2 linked regions of the Caenorhabditis elegans genome follow. The protein of the gene in region 1 interacts with the protein of each later gene in a biochemical or structural test. Each region holds a gene or a part of one and is shown in the gene's direction. Other genes may lie near its edges.

What was found.
Region 2: of the proteins of lgg-1 (region 1) and atg-4.2, one has a biochemical effect on the other in vitro, tested with the Caenorhabditis elegans proteins (one study listed by BioGRID).

The regions. Positions count from the first base shown.
Region 1 is NC_003280.10:6,346,268-6,349,857, reverse strand, and holds lgg-1 (Protein lgg-1), read left to right. Parts: upstream 1-2,138; 5' UTR 2,139-2,171; coding exon 2,172-2,459; intron 2,460-2,511; coding exon 2,512-2,595; 3' UTR 2,596-2,898; downstream 2,899-3,590. Other genes in the region: putative RING finger protein C32D5.10, read left to right, coding at 1-102, 151-203, 251-288. UniProt on the Caenorhabditis elegans protein: Ubiquitin-like modifier involved in the formation of autophagosomal vacuoles (autophagosomes). When lipidated mediates tethering between adjacent membranes and stimulates membrane fusion during autophagy. Recruits lipidated-lgg-2 to maturing autophagosomes.
Region 2 is NC_003282.8:11,666,249-11,670,178, forward strand, and holds the start of atg-4.2 (Cysteine protease atg-4.2), read left to right. Parts: upstream 1-1,775; 5' UTR 1,776-1,801; coding exon 1,802-2,055; intron 2,056-2,642; coding exon 2,643-2,782; intron 2,783-2,826; coding exon 2,827-2,913; intron 2,914-3,270; coding exon 3,271-3,371; intron 3,372-3,418; coding exon 3,419-3,729; intron 3,730-3,930. Other genes in the region: ZK809.9 (2-phosphoxylose phosphatase 1), read left to right, coding at 28-456, 510-928, 1,180-1,644. UniProt on the Caenorhabditis elegans protein: Cysteine protease required for autophagy. Cleaves the C-terminal amino acid of ATG8 family proteins lgg-1, to reveal a C-terminal glycine.

The DNA.
Region 1 (3,590 bases):
CGCGAAGTACAATATGCCGTTAACACAATCAATGAATATGCTTGTCGGCGCAGCACAAGAAGCCATTATCAGGATTAACAAACCAATGCCAAGCACTTCAAGGTGGGTTTGAAAAGATTTTATCGTGGATATGTAATATTCCAATTTCAGTGCTCCAGACATTTCGAAGTTCAAACCTGATGATATGTTACAGCTAGCAAGTTGTAAGTTTGTCATATTGCAGATCAAGTCTCATAACTAATTTTTACAGATCTCTCTCGAACTGGTGCACTTTCAAGGCGACAGTAAATCGACATTTGATCTCTGTTAAATCAATTAAAAAGGCGGATATCGACGAGTTTTCAAACTTTTTCCTAGGCATATCATAATTTTTTACAACTTTTTTACTTTTATTTTTTCTGACATTTCGATGTTTCGTAGTAGCAAGTTTCCAAATGTTCCATCCTGGGCTACAAGCGAACTTATTCGGCAATTTTTAGATTTTCGTTGTTTACGGTTCAAAGAAAAAAGCGTTTTTCATATTTTTATTGTTTCTCCATGTTAGCTATCATTTTTTATTTATTTATATTTATAGCTTTATTCTGATTATTGTACTTCTGTCCGTGTAAAACATTTCGTCACTATTGACTGTCTATAAATTTTTAACCTTTGGTTTATTGTTTGGTTATTTTTTTAATATTTTTTCTCGGTTTGCTTCCGGCAAATTTTTATCTTGTTCCTTTTTATATTTTTGCCTTTCTGATCGATTACATGGAGTGCACCCTAATGTCTTTAAGATCTTTTAATTGATTTGTTTTATATTGTCAGTTCTAGCGTTTTACCAGCTGGTCTTGAATGCCCTCTTCTAGTTCATTACATTCTACGTCACGGTGACAGCTGTGAATGTGGATGATGCTCTCATTGCTCCAACTCTTTATTTTAGAATTATGTCGCTAATGCACTTTCCACCTACATATTATTGTATGGATATAGTAGTTATATATCGTTTATTTCGTTTAGTTTTAGCATATTATGTTCCTTTAATAGCAAAACATACTCAATACCAACTGTTGTCTAGTTGTTATTCTAACCTTTTATCACTTTTGATCATTTCTAACGTTTAAAATTTCCTATCAAAAGAATCTAAGAACAAACAATCTGTCGATCGGCACCTGAAACCCCGATGATTCTACACCATGCTGCTCTACTTCTCTCAAACCATCCAATGTTTCCCTATACTCTCTTGCTCTCCTCTGCCTGCTGTCTCGTTTCGCCGCCGTATGACACAGTCACATGATGTTGAGTCGTGGTGTCTCGTCGTCTCCGCCCCTCTCTCATCTCTCTCTCTTTCTAGCTAGTGCCATTCGTCTTGGTGTGTTCAGTCTTGCCTCTCGCTCTTCTTTGCGACTTTCTGCCATTTCTTTCACTTTCTGGCGACGTCGGTAGCGACAGTACTTTTTTATTTAAAAGTTTGTAATTTTAGTTGGTTTGTTTAAAAAACCGGTTTCAAATCAAAATCTTTTTTAGATTTGAAATTTGAAATTAAGAAATGTTTCACAAGTTTGACTATTAAATGTACGGTTTAACAATTCTATCTAAAAATATTGCTAAATCATACCAAAATTATTTATTGAACGGTCATATTAATCTAGTTAATAGTTGATTACTAAAGTCTTTCAGAATTCAATTTTTTGGAACAATGCGCTAAGAATATTCGTAGAAACTGGTTATGGATACTAGTGAATATTGGATAAATGTTACTAATATATCGATCGACTTTCAGTCTTCCCAGAATTACAGTTTCCCCGACAACCTCTAAACAGCTGCATTGTACTTGTCCTGTTTCTCTGCATCTCAACAAAACCAGGCCAGACAAACATAGAAAATCAATAGGATGTCTCCTGCGTCTACGCGCTCTCATATGACCGATGTGCGCGCACACTCCCTCTCTCACTTGCACACGGGCCATTCTTGCTCATGCTCTTTTTGCCTTACTAGTACTCGTCGTCAATTTTATATAGATTTCGCAATGTGTTATCGAATCGGTCAATCTCTCAAAACCCATGTGATGTCACCTTCATTCACTCTCACTTGTTACACCTTTCTTCTCTCATGGTTCTTTTATGATTTTTCTGTGATTTAAAGTATTTTTATTCCAGTAACCTTCTCTTCACACTAACCTTCGAATCAAAATGAAGTGGGCTTACAAGGAGGAGAACAACTTTGAGAAGCGTCGTGCCGAAGGAGACAAGATCCGCAGAAAGTACCCAGACCGTATTCCAGTGATTGTTGAGAAAGCACCAAAGTCAAAGCTCCATGACTTGGATAAGAAGAAGTACTTGGTCCCATCCGATCTTACTGTTGGACAGTTCTACTTCCTCATCAGAAAACGCATCCAACTTCGTCCAGAAGATGCTCTGTTCTTCTTTGTCAACAATGTCATTCCACAAACCATGACCACAATGGGACAACTCTACCAGGTAACTAACCAGTCGTTTATTTTCATTTAATTAACCCTTTTCTTTATTACAGGACCATCACGAGGAAGACTTGTTCCTTTACATCGCCTACAGTGACGAAAGTGTGTATGGAGGAGAGGTCGAAAAGAAGGAATAAAGTGTCATGTATTATCCGCCGACGAATGTGTATACTTGTACAATGGAAATTTCATACTTCTAATGGAAACCCAAAGCCCCTTTAAAAAAATCTTCTCATTTTCTGTAATAATTCTGTATTTCCTTCACATTTTCTTCTCATTTTTCTCGTATGACGGTTCCGAGTAGTGACTTCTATTCAAACTATTGTCTACGAAGTTGCTCTTCTCCCCTCCCAGAAAATCATGTTTTCTCTCGGATTTTGATATTTTTTTGCTATTACTTTCAAATTTTTGATTCATGAATAAACGAAGAAGACACAAACAAATTCATGTTCATGCTCATCGTTATTTTCGGCCAGCGAATGGAATACCTCCAACAGTTAGCAATACACATTGCGAAATCACTTTTTCATCTGTATAGAATTGACGTCACATTTGTATTACGTAAACATCATTGTAGATTTCTGAACAAAGTATAGAGAAAAATGAGAATTTTATTTCGAAAATGGTGACACACTTTTGGCAAAAAGGCTCTTTGTATCCATTAGTCATCTGTCAAATGACAGTTTATTCTAGTTGTCATCGTCTGAAAATGTCATAAGAGGGCTCAAACGTTGACTTAGGAATCATTTTTGATTCGATTCTGGCATATTTTATCATTTTCGAGACACAATTTTGGTACTACCCATTTGCAGAAGTTTGAGATTTTCAATGCGAAAATACGGTAGCCGGTCTCGGCACGATGGAAACTTTTCAGCTACCGCACCCAAAAGTGTTTCGCAATTTTCACCTGTATCTGTTGTAATAGTTTCACTTAAAATTCCACATTTTTAAAGGAAAAACCGATACATTTTTGGAAAATTGTAGGAGATCATGAAAAATTAAAAACAAATACTTGCGGATACGGTATTTAAATAGTTTTGGCCGTTTCGAGACCGAGTACTGTAGGCTAACTCTAAAAAAATCTGCAAAATTTTCAAGATGTATAATTAAATACATATTTTTGAGATTAAAA
Region 2 (3,930 bases), on another chromosome or scaffold:
TAGATTTTCTATTGACACTATTCGCAGTTTTAGGATTTCTGGGACCTAACGAGCTAACACTACGCAATTCATATTATGAGAAGATGGTCATTGAACATTGCCAATTTGTGGAGAATCGAGATTTACAAGGATCCGAAGGACGCACTGATCATCCAAACGCTACATTGATTTCAATTTTAGCAGCTGTCAGACATGGAGATCGTTTTGGATTGTATACTGGTGGAAAATGTAGTGAACTGAGTGAACAAGAAGCAAAAGAATTTGAGGAGTACTTGACTGTCTCTCGTGGTCAGAATATCACAAGTCGATTGAATATTCCACCTGGTTTTGAAAACCTGCAAATTGTTCCGGGAGGAAATAAATGCCAAAGAGCATTTTTGTCTCCACGAGGCGCGATTCAAGAATTTGCATTGGGAAGGTTCTTATACAGTTTGTACAAGGATACTCCATTATTTGGTAAGTTTTATTAAGAAAGCTTCAAAAATTTATAAAATATTTATTATTTTCAGATACTTCGGAGACTCCCTTGAATTTGAAATTAACATTTTCGAAATTTCAAAGAACATTTGCTTCTGGAATAGCTCTTGTCAGTGGTCTGTTGGATCAAAATCAAACTAACTTCGCAACACCGATTCAATTAACAAACTCATCTGTATACTACGGGTGTACAGATGCTGAATGTAACTGTGACAATGTCATCAAGACACTACTACAAACGATGAAAGCAGAGAGTCAGGGATTGTTTCAATTGGAAGCCGATAGAAGAATTCTAGACGTTGCAAAGAAAATGTTTGATGCAATTAACTATTCTTCTGTACACATTGATCCTTTGGATGTCATTGATAACCTTGTAGCAGGATATGTGTGTCAACGGAAGGAACTTCCATGTAATGATCAGTTTTGTACCTCGTTCATGTATTTTGGAGATGTAAGTTGACCATGGTTTGTGTGACTTTTGAAAAAGAGCGGGAGCCTTAATTAATTTTGGGTCAGACCCAGACATGGATAACGTTTGCAAACTCTTTTCGAAGGTTCAACTGGAAAAACTAGTCAATGAATTTTGTAACTCATAGCTTGAAAGTAGAACTTGGTTAATTTAATTTACATATTTTTGGGAATTGAAATACACCATAATGCAAACCTAATTTAATTTTAAGAATTGCAAAAAAAATTCTTCAGGTTCTTGAATATTTCAACAAACAAAGTGCGAAAATGTTCAATTTGAATCTTGGAGTTGATAGACAATACCGTGTCCTGAATTCATATCCAATTCTGAGAGCTCTCGGTTTGATGGCTGAAGGCAACGAAAAAGAAGTTCAACTTTTCTCGTCTCATGACACAATTATTGGGTCGATTCTCCGAATTATCACGGACTCTGCCATCTACAATGATTGGCAATTGCTTGCGGCTCGGGTCGTTTTTGAGGTCTATGAAACCCCCAGCAAAACGAGATTGCTCCGCGTGCTCCACAATGGAGTCGACATAACGTCTACTGTGAAGTTCTGTAAAAGTTTTGAATATGGACTGTGCCCATTGTCAGGTCTTCAAGAATTTCTGAAAATTGGAATATTTGAGGTGGCCGGATTCAAAAGCTTCGAAGAAGAAACATGCAAGGATCATCGGACGGAACTTATACTTCTCTGAAATTTTTAAAAAATAAATACTTTTAATTGTTTAAAGTTTAAATTACCATTATCTCAACTGTATAGCGTACAGTTTTTCATACTTTTAATATTACTTTCTTGTTACTTACCAATTCTACTATCAATTGTAAGTTCCAGACTACATATGAAGCGTTAAAATGAATAATATACCAGACGATTTTAAAAAGATTGCAAGTTCCAGTCGATTACCAAGAAAATACTGTAGCTCAGAATCCTCATTATCAGATGATGATGGACACGAAATTGAGCATGTTTTGAAGCACGGAGCCCCGGAAGAAGCGTTAACTCCGGATACAGAAAGAATGGTTGTATTGGGCCAGGATGTAGTTCAATCTGCACCTGCAAGCCTTGTTCCGGGTGGCAATCTTTCATGGATGAGCAAAATTAAATCGTGAGTTTCTAGAAATTTTATGCTTTATTTAGCTGGAATGTTCCTAGTTAAAAAGTTTAACAGGATCATTTCTCATAGTCTAACAATTATGCTCGTATAAGTTTTAAAAATTAATCATCATCAAATATTTTGGTAAGTTTTGGTTCTATTTAGGCGCGCACAAAAGTACGTACTATGATAGAATTCCTACAAACTGTCCTATTTTCCAGTAAGGTCCGCGGTAGTTTTTTTCGCGACTGGTAGTTTTTTTTTGCGACTGGCAGTTTTTTTTTGCGACTAGGTAGGCATAGATTGCCTTTCAAGCTATTTATCAATGCATTTTAGCTTTTTTGTGCCTATTTGGAAACTATAAAATAAATCTATGTAGGCAATGTTCAAACAGTTATGTACTGTCAGCAATTCATTTGATTGATTAGTTATCACACGCTCTGTTCATACATTTTGTTCTTCTTATTCACAGTTGTCGGATATTTATAACGTTACATTATTTTGTTGTCTACAGAACTTACTATGTATTAGAGTTACGGTAAAAATGTACCAAGTTATAGATGTTGTGATCCATAACAATCAAAAATGTTTTTTTTAAGAGCCGGCGCGTCAATGATGGGAAGTATACGACCGTCAAGTTCAAGCCAAGACGTACATTCAACAGGAGAAATTGAGAAACATTCGAAGAAAAAGTGGAAAGCGAGATTATGGTCAACATGGAACAATATCAAATATTCAAGTGCGTATATACAGTAGCAATTTTCTATTAATTGAGGATTTTAGGTACATGGATGTCAGATCGAAGTGATGAATATGGAGGTGAAAATGATGTTGTTTTCTTGGGAAGAAGATATTCAACTAGTGTAGATGGTAAGTTTTCAACTGGTGTAGAGCGAACTTTTTAATGGGGGGAAATCTCATCAAAATGAAACAACTTTGTGTTAATTTTATATAATACACAATTTGATAGATTAGGAAAAGTGTTCACAATTTTTGTTGAATTTTTTGCACAAAATAATCCATGTTTTTAAAAATTATATTGGCTAAAAAGTTTTAAAAATATCCTTAATTACTGTGCCCGGCAAACTTGGGGTTCACGATCCCAACTTTTTTATTTTCCCAAAACCACCTTCGTTGAGCCCTTTTTTGTTTGTTCTTCAATTTGTAATCAACAAGTCAGAGTATTCGGCCATAGAAAGTGAAATATGGGAAAGCAAATTTTTGCAGAAAGTGGTCTTCGCTCGGGGTTCGAGAACTTTTGTTCTGATTACTACTCGAGACTTTGGATCACCTATAGGACAGATTTTCCAGCACTTCTTGATACTGATGTAAGAGACGCACTCAGTGTACTGTAATAAAATATAATATATTTCAGACGACAACAGATTGTGGATGGGGATGTATGATTCGAACAACACAAATGATGGTTGCACAGGCGATTATGGTGAATCGATTTGGAAGAGATTGGAGATTTACAAGAAGGAAAAGATCTCATGTCGCCGCTCATGGAGATGAAGATGATTTCGATAGAGAGAAAATTCAAGAGTGGATGATTCTGAAATTATTTGAAGACAAGCCAACGGCTCCATTGGGAATTCATAAGATGGTTGGAATTGCTGCAATGGGTAAAGGGAAAAAGGCCGTCGGAAGTTGGTATAGTCCTTCAGAAGCTGTTTTTATTATGAAGTTAGTTTTTGCTTGAAAATAATCTCACTTCCATATTTGCAAAAGGGAACTGTAAACTGTTTAAATCTTGAGCAAAACGTTGGAAATGCTTGGTTTAGGCTCCATCCAAGTTTGACCCAACTCTTACCAAAATCTGACCCAAGTTCTAATCGACACAAGAAAATTCTGAAACTGACATCATGGGAAAACATGTTTATGATC